4 linked regions of the Macaca mulatta genome follow. The protein of the gene in region 1 purifies or fractionates together with the protein of each later gene. This does not show direct contact. Links are inferred from orthologs where the notes say so. Each region holds a gene or a part of one and is shown on either strand. Other genes may lie near its edges.

Region 1 (4,132 bases):
CAGCTGGCCAAACGAAACCAGCAAAGAATGAAACCAACAAAGGGAGGGTAAGGGTCTCTTCTGGCTTGAATTTATAGTGCTCTAGTGACCGATCTTTCTTCTCTTTTCCTTCTTACTGTTTTCTAAACCGTTTAGGGAAAAACCTTTGAAAATATTTTTAAAAATTGTTCCTTCAAACAGGTGTATGGCCATCTCTCCACTGGAAATTTGGATATAAACAAGAGGACTTTCTTGCTTTTAACCAGATTTATGGATGTATATTTGATTTAGTGAGTTGGGAGAGGGGAGGGAGACAAGAAAGAGTGAACATAACTCTGGAAGAAAGTGAAAAAAGTGAAGCATCCTTGTTCCCCGCCCCCCCACTTCCTTTTCCTCCAGAAGCAGGTAGGGAGTGCGAGATTATCAGCGCCTGGACACACCTCACTAAAGAGGTAATGAGGTAAATGGGAAACACAGACAAAGTGTTCCCCAACTTTGCAGGCAGAAATTGAAGAGATAACAGGATAAGCAACAGGATGTAAACACGCCTGTCCTATTTCCGTGCCAGAGAACAGAGAGAACAGAAGAGAGGGTACAAGGGGCGGGGGGTGACGAACAGCACACGCACGCAGCCCCCAGCCCTAGCCCCAAGGGATTGGAACGGGAAGTAGAAGACATCAGTCCTACAGCCGCAATGAGGCCTGAAAGTTCTCCTTTCCCTCAGAGATGGTGGTGTTTTTTTACATTTAATAGGGATGCGGGGCAAGAGAAGGACAAAGGGGCTGTTCCTTAACAGTAACACCAAGCATTCTGTGCTCCACGGCCCCAAACCTAAAAGTATTCTTGGAGCTATGGGATTTTCACACACTTGCTATTTACGAGCCACGAATAAACGACAGACTATAAAGTAATTGCACTGGCTAAGACTAGGCATGAAATTCCCTCATAAGCACATTTTCTTTTTACCTCAAACCACCGCTCTCAGACCAGAAACGTCCACACCCGCCCTCCGATGGCCTGTCGCCCTGGCTAGGTTTTAGGGTCAGTGGTATCCTCCTTCCACTAGGCCCGGGTGAAGACTCAACAGCCCCCTCCTTCCCCGCATTCCTCTCCTTCCCCCCTCCCTGCGCCGCTCCCGAGCACAACAACCATTTTCCCCGCCAGGAGCACACCGTGTCCACGCGCCTCAGCGATCTCACTGATTGGTCGGGCTCCTGGTAAACAAGGACCGGGCAGCCAATGGGAGGGATGTGCACGAGGGCAGCACGAGCCTCCGACCCAGCGCTCGCGTGGCTCTTCTGGCCGGGGCTTCTATATAGAGCCGTTTCCGCCTGCTGCTTGAAACTAACCTCTCTTTCTCTGTCAAGAAGTGCTTGCGGAGATCGGATCTCTTCTCCAGCAATCGGGGAAAAGAAGACTTTTTCTCTGAAATCGCTTAGTGTAACCAGCGGCGTAAATTTTTTGGACGCCTTTTCGAAAACCTAGTTAAAATTCATTTGTTTAAATCTCATTTTATTTTTAAGCTCAAACTGCTTAAGAATATCTTCATTCCTTAGGAAGAGTGAAATAATTTACTGCAAAGGAATTTCCTCGATTTGGTGCATTTTTTTTTTTATTCTTCCACGGTCTTTTCTAACTCTCAAACCAACTCCGTCCCATCATGGTGATGTTCAAGAAGATCAAGTCTTTTGAGGTGGTCTTTAACGACCCTGAAAAGGTGTACGGCAGTGGTGAGAAGGTGGCTGGCCGGGTGATAGTGGAGGTGTGTGAAGTTACTCGTGTCAAAGCCGTTAGGATCCTTGCTTGCGGAGTGGCTAAAGTGCTCTGGATGCAGGGATCCCAGCAGTGCAAACAGACTTCGGAGTACCTGCGCTATGAAGACACGCTTCTTCCGGAAGACCAGCCAACAGGTAAGCGGCCCAATTCATTGTTGGAGGGTGAAAGCTGATTAGAGAAGAGAATTGAAAGGAATACACAAAACTATACGAAATGTTTTAAGTTGCTCAGTTTGAGTGGTGTGAATTGCACGTTGTTACTTCCTTTTTTCTAATTTGCAGACATTCTCCCCCCCACACCCCCCAAAAAAAAGGGTGGTTTGTACAATTTTTTATGGTGCTGTGTCCTAAAGGTGGTTCTGAGGGGCATTGCCTCGGATAGTTAAAAATCTTATGTGTGCATTAGTTGCTTATTCTTTGCCTACTTCCTGTTTGAGATGTTAGTGAAGAACTGTCCTGGGTGAATCTTTAAAAGCATTGCAGGGCAACCTGGGAACTTGCTGCCCAACAAAATACATCAGAATTTCTCTTTAAGAACAACATGGGATGATTAAAATACCTCTCTGTGGGACGAAATTAGGGGTACTTCAATACCTTGCATGCCACCCAAACATTCCTTATCACACAGATGCATTTTAAGTGTAACAGGAAGCCTAATGGCTACTCGATTTTCTTTCCCTTCAGGTGAGAATGAGATGGTGATCATGAGACCTGGAAACAAATATGAGTACAAGTTCGGCTTTGAGCTTCCCCAGGGGTAAATATCAGCTAAATGCATCTTTGAACTTTTCTGTCTAAAATATCTTGCCCTCCTTTGATCACTTACTGTTCCTTGGAGAGCATTTAAAAATTTTCATTTTCTTGACACAGGCCTCTGGGAACATCCTTCAAAGGAAAATATGGGTGTGTAGACTACTGGGTGAAGGCTTTTCTTGACCGCCCCAGCCAGCCAACTCAGGAGACAAAGAAAAACTTTGAAGTAGTGGATCTGGTGGATGTCAATACTCCTGATTTAATGGTGAGATTCATTTTAAAGATTATATTCTCCTGGGTCACAGGGATGATAAATCAGATGTCTTGGGCATTAGATTAAAGCATCTCAAAACACTTTTTTGTCCCCTTCTACATAGGCACCTGTGTCTGCTAAAAAGGAAAAGAAAGTTTCCTGCATGTTCATTCCTGATGGGCGGGTGTCTGTCTCTGCTCGAATTGACAGAAAAGGATTCTGTGAAGGTAAAATCCTAGTGCTTATGGCAGACAGATATAACAGGAACTAGGTTTAGGGGCAAGGGCATGGGACTGGGGTAGAGGAAATGTCATTAACTATACTGAGTATCAGTAAGTTTTCATTTTTCTCTTTGCTAGGTGATGAGATTTCCATCCATGCTGACTTTGAGAATACGTGTTCCCGAATTGTGGTCCCCAAAGCTGCCATTGTGGCCCGCCACACTTATCTTGCCAATGGCCAGACCAAGGTGCTGACTCAGAAGTTGTCATCAGTCAGAGGCAATCATATTATCTCAGGGACATGCGCATCATGGCGTGGAAAGAGCCTTCGGGTTCAGAAGATCAGGCCTTCTATCCTGGGCTGCAACATTCTTCGAGTTGAATATTCTTTACTGGTGAGTAGATGCAGGGTGGGTTCAGCAGAGAAATTGTTCATCTGTTACCATAACTGTCTTGTTTCACCAGAGCGCTCTGGTCTAACAAACTACCATCTTCCTTTTCTAGATCTATGTTAGTGTTCCTGGGTCCAAGAAGGTCATCCTTGACCTGCCCCTGGTAATTGGCAGCAGATCAGGTCTAAGCAGCAGAACATCCAGCATGGCCAGCCGAACCAGCTCTGAGATGAGTTGGGTAGATCTGAATATCCCTGATACCCCAGAAGGTGAGCCAGACCTAATGTCTTTTCTTCATTTCTGGTCTACCTGGGTTTGTAAAATTGTGATGGTCCAGCATTTCTTGGGCAGGCTTCTTACGTGGCCATATTTTCTTTTCTAGCTCCTCCCTGCTATATGGATATCATTCCCGAAGATCACCGATTGGAGAGCCCCACCACTCCTCTGCTAGATGACATGGATGGCGCTCAAGACAGCCCTATCTTTATGTATGCCCCTGAGTTCAAGTTCATGCCACCACCTACTTATACTGAGGTGAGAATTGTCATATTTACTGTTAAATTTGTCCTAAGCTTTCTATAAGAAGTTGACTTAGAGGGATTGCTAAACTGGTTTGTTCTTTTAGTTCTTACCTGAACTGAAATAGTCTGTTTCTTCCTTTAGGTGGATCCGTGCATCCTCAACAACAACGTGCAGTGAACATGTGGAAGAAAAGAAGCAGCTTTACCTACTTCTTTCTTTTTGTCTCTCTTCCTGGAC
Region 2 (3,500 bases), on another chromosome or scaffold:
CACATCATTGATTGCCCTCCAGCCTGGGCAACAGGAGCGAAACTCCATCTCAAAAAAAAAAAAAAAAACACACACACACAAATGAACTGTGTAATCGAACACATTGGTTTGGTAAAGGGAAGAGTTGTAATTTTTTTTTTTGCTTTTTTTTTTAAATCTAGGAGAAATAACAGCTGATAAGAATAATTTAGTGGAGAAATAAAACCTGATAATTCAAGACAAAGGTGGTAACTGTTGGAGCAATTAAGTAGAAAAGTGGTGGTAGGAATCGAATGTACCAGCAGAGGGAGCAGACTTTGATAATAACAATGACAGTTCATCTACAGAACAGGAGGGAGGAGAGGTGGTAGGAGATGCACAGATATGGTGGTACAAATTTGCAAAAGACCTTTTATGATTGCTTCTACTTTCTTAGTTATGCAAAGACATTACACCTTAGAGTAAGAATGAAGGAGACATCTGTCAACTGCTTAATTCAGTTATCTTTAAATCTGGAAAATCATTTCACTGACCATCTCATTGCAGCAGTGTCATGTGGCAGTTAAGAGCACAGAGTCAAGAGACAGACTGACTGTCATAGTTAGAAACCAGCTCCACTACTTGCCTTATAACTTTGCACAGTTAGTTACACTCCCTGTATCTCTCCTCACTTGGTAAAGAGAAAAATAATAGTATCTACCTCAAGGGGTTATTGGAAGATAAAATGAGTTAATACCTATGAAGTACTTAGAACAATCCTTCGCACATAGTAATCACTACATAAATAGTTGCCATTGCTATTATTAAGGAATGACATGCTGCAAATCCATCGTCAAATGAGAGCAAAGACAGCTATACTAACGTATCACTTGTGTAGGTTTTCTTGAACCAAAAAGTAAAATATTTTTCTAAACTTGAGGATAAGTTAGAGACTAACTCTCATGTGCTCACTAAGCAACATTTAAAGGAGAACCTCAGGTTTTCACTCACACAGATGACTTCCCATTGCGAGGATCTTTGAATGTTGTTGTTCTTGTGTTATGATCAACAAAGTACCTTACACCTTCACGAGTGTATCTAATTTCCCAGCCTTCTGGCAGGGGTTCTTCATTCTGTAAGCTAAAAGATAAAGTTAAAATCACAAGATGAACATTTTCTAGGTACTAAAAATATCTCATTCAAGGTTGGTTGATTCTACCTACAGATATATGCAAGATGATTTAAGGCTGCTGTATATACATACCCTTGAGTTCTTGGATCTTCCCATTGGGTTGTTTTTGTGTTGTGATTCACAAAGTAAACCCTGTCTGTTGAATCCACTCTTTTCTCTGAAATATAAAGTGACCATAATATTTAATAACTATTTGGGATCTATATATAAAATAAGGAATATATATATGATTATTATATATTATATATAAATATATATAAAAATATATCAGGGATATATGTATCGCTTATATGTCTTATAGAATATATACAATATATAATCTATTCTATACATAATATATATTATATAAATAATTATATATTATATAAATAATAATATATATTATATATTATAAGGGGTATATATTAAGGGATATATATAAGGGAGATATACATATAAAATAAGGGATATATATATGGAGATATATATATCTCCCTTACGGATCATTAGCAAAAACATAACGGCTTACCCCAGCCTGGTGGCAAAGGTCCATAAGGGTCATTTTCTGCAGCTAACATTGAGGCCTGATTGGAGAAAAGATTGGGGAGAGAAATAAAATAACAGTATTTTAATATGGAAGTGGAAATAAGCCAAGTGCATGGCAGAATCACATTTTATAATAATTTTCTAAAAATATGATAAGGGGCTGGGCACAGTGGCTCACGCCTGTAATCCCAGCACTTTGGGAGGGCAAGGTGGGAGGATTACTTAAGCCCAGGAGTTCAAGACCAGCCTGGAAGACCCTGTCTCTATTAAAAAAAATTTTTTTTTAATTAGCCAGACATGTTGGCACATTTGCCTAAAGTCCCAGCTACTTGGAAGGCTGAGGTGGGAGGATCACTTGAGCCCAGGAGGTGGAGGTTGCAGTGAACTGTGATCACACTACTACTGCACTCCAACCTGGGCAACAGAGCAAGAAGCTATCTCAAAAATAGATCTATATTATTAGATAGATAGATAGATAGATAGATAGATAGATAGATAGATCGATCTACATAATAAGGAAATGTAGCAATTTCAAGACACAAAGTTCTTTGTTTTTTTGAGACAGGATCTTCCTGCTCTATTACCCAGACTAGGGTGTAGTGGTATGATCTCAGCTCACAGCAGCCTCTGCTTCCCAGGCTCAAGCAATCCTCCCACCTCAGCCCCACCAAGTAGCTGGGACTACAGACATGCACCACCACACCTGGCTAATATTTGTATTTTTTGTAGAGACAAGGTTTTGCCGTGTTTCTGAGGCTGGTCTCGAACTCCGAGGCTCACGTGATCCACCTGCCTCGGCCTCTCACAGTGCTGGGATAACAGGTGTAAGCCACCACTCCCAGCCAAGACACAAAGTTCATAAAACGTCATGAAGAGGAGACTATCAACTAATCAAATTAATTATTAGTTTTTCTAAAATGATTTAAAAATAATACACTGGCATCAGTACTTTACTCTCCCAGTCCTTCCATACTAAACTATAGAGGGAAGATGAAATGGGAAAAGAACATACAGGAAATTGATGTTTAAATGAGGCAATATTATTTGTTTAAAAATAGACCAATTATCACAATTTTCTTTAAAACAAATGCCCACTAATAAAACTAACACTCAACTCCAGTACCATTTATAGAAATAAACTTTTAATTAGTATCTTTTATATTTTCATGCATACATAAAAACACATTTTTATGTAAGCCTCCATTCTTATTATAACCTAGAAATATATTCTGAGGAAAATATAAGCATTCTATCAAGAATTTTATAATAATGACAAATGTAAAAATAATTACCTGAAAAATAATTTCTTAAAGTAAATGCATCTTGATGAATATAATCTTGTAACAGACCCTGTTAATTATACTCAATATTTATCTTCCACCTGTTCTTGAGAACCAAATCCCTGCTTTGTTGGAGGTAGAAACGTGGCCATAAAGATCATTCCATCCCCCTTCCCTTGCAGCTGAGCTGGTAGAGTGAACAATTCTGGCCAGTGAGGTATAGGCAGAGGCCATGGTAAGGGCATCCTTCACTAAGTAAAAAAGGCAAGGGCTTGCAACAACAGAGCCATCTGCCCTTTCAATTCCTCTTTCTCTTTCTTCTTGCCTAGACTATGGATGTGAGGCCCACAGTGTAGAGTTCCATATAAACGAAGTAAAAGGCCTGAAGTGTGATACGGATGGCAGAGCATAAAGGCAGAAAGAACCCAGGTCCTTGATGACACTACTGAGTCAATGCAGCACTTAGACTTTTACCCCAGACCTGATGTTGTACTGAGATAATTAAACCTCAATGTGTTTAAGGAGATTCTATTACTTGCAAGATA
Region 3 (3,339 bases), on another chromosome or scaffold:
GGTTGGGGGCTGTCATCCCCTGGCCAACCTGGCTCTGTGTCCTCAGCCCCAAAGAGGGGCCCCGCTGAGCTGGAGAGCTCCACGTTCGGGCTAAGTACTGGGCCCGTGGGTCGCCTGACTGTGCCTTGACTTGCGGACTTCCAGGTGGTGAAGGAGATGGACAATGAGAAGAGGATCCGGCTGCTGCAGTTTGTCACTGGGACCTGCCGCCTGCCCATCGGCGGATTTGCTGAACTCATCGGTACATTTTCTCTCGCCCTCTGGTGTCCTGGCTGGCAGTGAGGACAGCTCAGAGGGAGGGGGGAACCTAGTCTTTTCCTGGAAGCACGTCAGTGGGATGGAGAAGAGCTGAGGCCTCTGTGTCCTGGGGCTGAGCCCATCTGTGGGTGGAGCCGGAGGGTCCTGCTTTGGGAAGGCACGTCTCTGTTGACATGGGTGTGTTTTACCTTGGATCACAGGTAGCAATGGACCACAGAAGTTTTGCATTGACAAAGTTGGCAAGGAAACCTGGCTGCCCAGAAGCCACACCTGGTGAGCCTTCTAGTTTTAGTGGGACGTCGGGGGGCCTCAGACCCGATGAGCTCCTGGGACAGCCCAGTGGGTGTAGCAGCTTCTTAGCCTCGAGTCTGACAGCTTTTGCGTGGCCCTGGGGTGTTGGGTTGGAGAGATGGGGCTGTGATGGGCATCTTATCTGCCGGGTTTTACATATGAAGCGCTTCTGTTCCAGTAGTCCAAGAGCTACTGCCCTAAGTGTCCCCCCAACCAATTTCCAGCTGTCCTGGCCCCTCCCTTAACACCCCATGGTCCAGGTACCTGCAGTGTAAAGGCCTGACTGGCAGCCCCTGAGCCCTAGCCAGTGTGGCGCAAGCCCTGTGGCCCTGCTGCAGGCAGGCAGGGCGGGGCTGTCAGGGCCCTGGCCTCCTGGGGCTGACTGTCGTGCTTTCCCCGCTCTCGATAGCTTCAACCGTCTGGATCTTCCTCCCTACAAGAGCTACGAACAGCTGAGAGAGAAGCTGCTGTATGCCATTGAGGAGACCGAGGGCTTTGGACAGGAGTAACTGAGGCCGCCCCCCCACACCCCCCAGTGCACACATAGTCCTGAGTCCTCCCTGCCTGGGAGGCCACCGGCCCTGCAGCCCTTGGGAGGCCCCCGTGGATGTGGCCCTGTGTGGGACGACACCATCATCTCGCTTCTGGCAGAAGAGCCTGATCCCAGGAGGCCCTGCAGTTCCCCCCACCCATGGATGGCAGTCTGGAATAAAGCCCCCTAGTTGCCTTTGGCCCCACCTTCGCAAAGTTCCAGAGGGGTGACCCTCTCTGCAAAACTCTCCCCCATCCCCTAGACCCCACCCTGGGTGTGTGTGTGTGCAAGGGAAGGTGTTGCATCCCCAGGGGCTGCTGCAGAGGCCGAAGACCTCCCGGACTAGTTTGGCCAGGAGACCGGCTCCTGGGGTGGGCTGGGCTGTTCTGGACTGAGAGCCAAGGGTCTTTGCCAGCAAAGGAGGTTCTGCCTGATGATCGAGACGAAGTGAAGGTCTGAGGGCGACGGCCCTGGGGCGAGGCCATCTCCGCCTGCCTCCCTAGCAGGCAGCAGCAATGGAGGCTGAGTCGCAGGACGCATGCTGGTCAGTTAATTCATTCTCAGCAAATGAAGGTTTGTCTAAGCTGCCTGGGTATCCATGGGACAGAAACAGCAGACTCCCTCAGACTTTCTTTTTCCATTTATAAACTTGAAGCGGTTGTGTTGTAGGGTTGCAGTTTTTTTTGTTATGCTGCTGTCACTTTCTGTCCAGGAGTTGGCACCCCAGGCGTTCTGAGACCTTGAGGGACCCAGGCCTTTGGGTCCACGAGTTTCCCAAACAGCCACGCGTCTCAGGAACCTGCCTGGTGGTTCCGTGAGCTCAGGCGGGCCTGACCCAGCGGCGCAGCCTGGCAGGGACCTCGTCCCCGAGCCTGGCAGAGTGGGAGGGGTTGAGGTCCCGAGCGCCACTCCTAGCCTTGCCGCCTTCAATAGAGAAGAAATCCCTTTGCTAGATAGGGTCCCCCAGGCAGTCCCCAGTGGCGGGACACAGGGATCCGGCTGTGGAGCTCTCCCGTCAGCCCTTGGAGTTCCAGGTGGGCCTGCTGGTCCCCTGTTCAGAATGGAGTGCGGCCCGGCCAGCGGAAAGTGTCCATTCTGCGTAGGTGCTTTATCTGCACACAGGACGTGGAAACCAGCAGAAAGGCCCTGACCTGCTGCATAGCCCGGTCTGATTTCTGCAGTTCCCACCAGCCTCCAACCCGGGGACTCTGCCATAATTGGAATCTTCACAGGTCACATTGAAATCTTCAAGATGACCATGCCCCCCCAGGATGCTGGGGCAGTAATCATGGCAGACTCCCTGCCCGGGCCCCCAGGATTCTAGGACCCCAGGCAGCCCCTTGGCCTGGTCCCGGGTACCTTCCAAGCACAGTCTCCATGCTCCCAGATTCTCGACCTTTCCCTGGCCGGGGAGGTGCAGCCTGCGTCTGCCTGTGTCATGTGTGCTGATTTGAGTGGCTCAGCTTGCCACAGCGCAACCTCTTCTGTCCCTTTCAGTCATTTGCCGTACTTCCCTGCGGCACGCCACCACGGAAGCCGCTCCAGGGTGGGTCAGGGCGTAAGCTGCTGGTGAGGTTTGGAAGCATCAGGCTCACGGGTGTTCGTGTGTGTTCGTGCGTGTGTGTGCGTACGTGTATATAACTGAAGTGTCTGTACGGAATGCCCTTTGCTAGCCATGGGCTGGTCACCAGACTATTTTGTAATACCCGCCCCCTGCCTCGATATTGCCAGTTTCTTGTGCAATAAACAATCAGCAGCTGTGGGTGGTGTTGGTGTGGATGTTTACAAACCTGTGGTCCTCTAGTCAAGAGGACTCTGGTCCTCACAGACCCTCCAGGCCTGGATAGGGGTGGAAATTCCCTGACCTCGCTGGTTTTGAGAAGCCTGTGTGTCATGGACCGAGGCAGCCCCCAACTTCTGGGCTGGGCAGCTGAGTCCTGGCCCAAGGATCACCAGCTTCAGCCCCTGATCGGCCACCTCACTGCACCCTTTCGGGACCTCTGCGTCCCCCTGCCAGACCCGGGGGGGTCTCCAAGCAGTTGCTGTGGGGTGCAGAACAATAACAGCTGCAGGTTGGGGCTTCCGAAACTGGCTTGCAGGGAGAGTGTTCTAGGCAGTCATTCATTCAGGAAATACTCAGGTTTCGCAAGTTCCACGACGGTCGATGGTCGAGGGACTCTGTGATCTTGACCTCAGGGTCACGTAAAGGCTTGCCACCCACTGTTTTTGGTTTTGACAGATCACCATGCTGATGGGTC
Region 4 (3,500 bases), about 120 Mb from region 1:
CAAAGAGAGACACTAACAAACCAGCCTGTGTACCTGGGAGAGCATGGCTACACAGGTGAAGGTGCTGAGCCCTGACACTGTTGAGGATAAAGAGGCTGCAGGGTAAAAGCTCTCTCCTAGTGCAGAGGCTGCAGGGTAAAATCCCTCTCCTACTGTAGAGGCTGCAGGGTAAGAGCTCTTTCCTGGTGTAGAGGCTGCACGCACTGGACGATAACTTGCATGCATGCACACATAAAATGGGTGACTATTCATGTGAGTGCCTTGGAAACAATTTTTTTCCTCAATGGGCAATTGGGCTGCACAATCTCTAAGGTTTTTTCCAACACTAAGAAACTCTAATGCTATAATCATAAATTAGCATAAATTATCTCATTAGCAGTAGTATACATTATATACATCCAGTCCTTCAAACCATTTCTGATGTTTTTACCTCCTTACTCTACCTTCAACTCTGCCTGACCAGAGTAACCCCCATCCACATTTTCCACATAATTCACCTCTGAAAAGAAGTTACTTTTCTGCTGAGACACCCATGAAGACTTACCCCAGTTTCTGCAGGTTACATTGTGGATTCTTGGCTTTTTCACATAAAATTGCGACTCCTGCGTCTCCCAGGGCATTCTCCCCCACGTAGAGTCTGGTCAGGGAACGGCTGGTGCTCAATACTGACGCAAGATCCTGACAACACGCTGATGTGAGGCAGCAGCTGACCAGCCTTCCACAAAGACGGCAGAATGTCAGTCATGTCTCTCACCCACGCTCCACCATGAACAAGGAGGCACCCGTACCTGCCACTGCCTCTACTCCAGTTTACACATGGAAAGGGAGTGGACACAAGCTCTACGTACACTTCTGATTTCCTCTTCCATCTGGCGGAATAACAAGCTCGCACCAATACTACATCTTCCCAGCTCCCTACATTCAGCTTTATTGTGGTGAAATACGTGTAAAATGAAATTTACCATCTTAACCATTTTTAAGTGCACGATTAACGGCCTTAAGCACATTCACATTGTTGTGCAACCATCTTCACCACCGTCTCCAGAACTCCTTTCATCTTGCCGAACTGAAACTCCATAACCATTAAACAATGTCTTCCCGTTCCCCACTCTCCCATTGCCTGCAACCACCTTTCTTTCTGTCTCTATGAATCTGACTATTCTAGGCACCTCTTATCAGGACAATCACAGAGTATTTGCCCTTTCAAGCCTAGCTTATCTTACTTAGCATAATGTCCCTGAGGCTCATCCATGTTGTAGTGTGTACTAGAATTCCTTTTAAAGCTGAATGTACATATATAGCACTTTTCAACACCCTTTATCCGTTGAAGGACGTTTGGGTTATTTCTACCTTTTGGCTAGTGCTAATAGTGTTGCTATGGACATGGGTGTACAAATAACATGTTTGAGTTCCTGCCTTCTTTTTTTTTTTAACTCTTCCTCGGTTACCCAGGTGGGAATGCAGTGGCATGATCTTGACTCACTGCAACCTCCGCCTCCCAGGTTCAAACGATTCTCTTGCCTCCACCCGGAGTAGCTGGGATTACAAGCACGTGCCACCACGCCTGGCTAATTTTTGTATTTTTAGTAGAGACAAGGTTTTACTATGATGGCCAGGCTAGTCTCAAACTCCTGACCTCAAGTGATCCACCTGCCTCGGCCTCCCAAAATGCTGGGATTACAGGTGTGAGCCACTGTGCCTGGCTGAGTTACTGCTTTGAACTCTTTTGCAGATATACCCAGGAGTGGAAATGCTGGCTTCAATAGTAATTCTATATTGTTTTAGGAATTGCAGTGCTGTTTTCCACACTGGCTGCATCATTTACTTTCCCACCAGCAATACACAATGGCTTCCATTTCTCCGTATCCATGCCAATACTTGTTTTCTAGTTTTCTTGCTTTTGTTTAATAATAGCCATCCTAATGGGTGAGAATTGGCCCTTCCATTTTTAAGTGTTTTTTTCTCTCCTTCAAAATGCAAGTCTCCCAGAAGCATTCAGGGAAGGGCTGCATACAACATCGAGTGTCTGCACTGCTTTAGCACCATTTTTCTTATACAACATGAGGACCCAGGGCTTGTCATGAAATTCTAAAACTCCTCTAAAGCAATGCATTACACTGGTTTTCTTCTTTTTCTCAGCTAAGGCAGTGGGCACCCTACAGGCAGTCATCTTCTTTTTTTATTACTTATGCCCCTTGTCAGGGTTGAGTGTGTGACATTCCCCACAGCAAACACTAACTAACCGAAATGCCACAGACACCCAGAGACAAGCACACACAGCCACCTGAGCCGCCGAGGCCACTGTCACTCAAACTCCAGCCCCCCAGGCCTCACTGAAGCCAGAGTGCGAAACATGCCTTGTTGGCAGGGCTTCCTTTGGGGAACGGGCTCAACTCACCAGAGCTTCTTCAGATTGCACAACAGGTGCTTCAGTCCCACACACAGAAGTCTGATCCCGAAGTCCCCAAGGGCGTTGTCGCTCAGGTCCAGCTCCACCAGCTTCTGGTTGCTGCTGAGGACCAAGGAGATGTCGAAGCAGCACTCATGCGAGAGGCCGCAGCGCCCCAACCTTCATGCCAAGAACAGAGGCAGAAAGCGTCAGAACACATCTGACCAGAGAACTCCGGAATACAGCACAAGGTCAGCCCTCAGGCTCCCCAGTCACAGCAGAGGGAGCACCCGTCAGTGAATTCCCGGCCATAAACAGTGCCGGGTGCATTGCAGTCACCCCCCAGACAAGTGAATGGTGAGCTCCTGGCTTGTAAGTGAAACGGGTGGTGTGGGCCTGTGCACTCCACCTCCTTCCCTTGTGTTCCTAACTGTTGATGTGCCCGCAGTCGGCTCTGCCCTCGCCAGCGCTGCACTCAGCTATTTCTTGTCTTTACCAACATTGTCACCCCATTGTGCTTGATGATTTCATCCCAGCCATCCATCTATATTGAAAGGAAAAGCAGCTCTGATTCTTTTTCTCTTTCTTTTTCTTTTCTTTTTTTTTAGAGACAGGGTCTCACTTTGTTGCACAGGCTGGAGTGCAATGGTGAGATCATAGCTCACTGCCACCTAGAACTCCTGTGCTCAAGGAGATCCACCTGCCTCAGCCTCCCAAGTGGCTGCAAATACCAGCATGTGCTACCATGCTTAGCTATTTTATTTATTTATTTATTTATTTATTTATTATTTTGTAAAGACAAGGTCTGACCAGCTTGCTCAGGCTGGTTTTGAACTCCTGGGCTTATGATCTGCCCACCTCAGCCTCTCAAAGTGCTGGGGTTCCGCACCCCGCTGCAGCTCTGATTCTTTATTGGTTTCACCGTTACACACATGCACACACACACACGCACATCACTACCACCGTCACCACCACCACCAGCAACAAAAATGTATCCCTGTCGTGGGGGCGAGAACGACATTCTAGTTTCTTTCCAGGGCAATAGTTCATAGGTCCTGGAGCCTGTTAGACCACCTTCCTTTCTGTCCCTATCCTTACACCAACTTCAAGC

What was found. The genes of interacting proteins can lie anywhere in the genome.
Region 2: the proteins of TXNIP (region 1) and WWP1 purify together in Homo sapiens (affinity purification with mass spectrometry; 4 studies listed by BioGRID and IntAct, counting the BioPlex papers as one, with this or other methods). This does not show direct contact. The link is inferred for Macaca mulatta from reciprocal best matches to the Homo sapiens genes TXNIP and WWP1.
Region 3: the proteins of TXNIP (region 1) and WWP2 purify together in Homo sapiens (affinity purification with mass spectrometry; 3 studies listed by BioGRID and IntAct, with this or other methods). This does not show direct contact. The link is inferred for Macaca mulatta from reciprocal best matches to the Homo sapiens genes TXNIP and WWP2.
Region 4: the proteins of TXNIP (region 1) and NLRP3 purify together in Homo sapiens (affinity purification with western blotting, with the first as the bait; 4 studies listed by BioGRID). This does not show direct contact. The link is inferred for Macaca mulatta from reciprocal best matches to the Homo sapiens genes TXNIP and NLRP3.

What each region holds. Positions count from the first base shown.
Region 1 is NC_133406.1:119,305,212-119,309,343, forward strand, and holds the start of TXNIP (thioredoxin-interacting protein), read left to right. Parts: upstream 1-1,332; 5' UTR 1,333-1,639; coding exon 1,640-1,889; intron 1,890-2,438; coding exon 2,439-2,511; intron 2,512-2,624; coding exon 2,625-2,772; intron 2,773-2,884; coding exon 2,885-2,987; intron 2,988-3,119; coding exon 3,120-3,376; intron 3,377-3,485; coding exon 3,486-3,642; intron 3,643-3,755; coding exon 3,756-3,907; intron 3,908-4,036; coding exon 4,037-4,072; 3' UTR 4,073-4,132. UniProt on the Homo sapiens protein: May act as an oxidative stress mediator by inhibiting thioredoxin activity or by limiting its bioavailability.
Region 2 is NC_133413.1:96,905,414-96,908,913, reverse strand, and holds part of WWP1 (NEDD4-like E3 ubiquitin-protein ligase WWP1), read right to left. Parts: intron 1,714-3,500; coding exon 1,659-1,713; intron 1,308-1,658; coding exon 1,223-1,307; intron 1,099-1,222; coding exon 970-1,098; intron 1-969. UniProt on the Homo sapiens protein: E3 ubiquitin-protein ligase which accepts ubiquitin from an E2 ubiquitin-conjugating enzyme in the form of a thioester and then directly transfers the ubiquitin to targeted substrates.
Region 3 is NC_133425.1:65,564,776-65,568,114, forward strand, and holds the end of WWP2 (NEDD4-like E3 ubiquitin-protein ligase WWP2), read left to right. Parts: intron 1-144; coding exon 145-241; intron 242-458; coding exon 459-531; coding exon of another isoform or gene 532-535; exon of another isoform or gene 536-564; intron 565-887; exon of another isoform or gene 888-958; coding exon 959-1,058; 3' UTR 1,059-2,839; downstream 2,840-3,339. UniProt on the Homo sapiens protein: E3 ubiquitin-protein ligase which accepts ubiquitin from an E2 ubiquitin-conjugating enzyme in the form of a thioester and then directly transfers the ubiquitin to targeted substrates.
Region 4 is NC_133406.1:1,600,925-1,604,424, forward strand, and holds part of NLRP3 (NACHT, LRR and PYD domains-containing protein 3), read right to left. Parts: intron 2,570-3,500; coding exon 2,399-2,569; intron 716-2,398; coding exon 545-715; intron 1-544. UniProt on the Homo sapiens protein: Sensor component of the NLRP3 inflammasome, which mediates inflammasome activation in response to defects in membrane integrity, leading to secretion of inflammatory cytokines IL1B and IL18 and pyroptosis.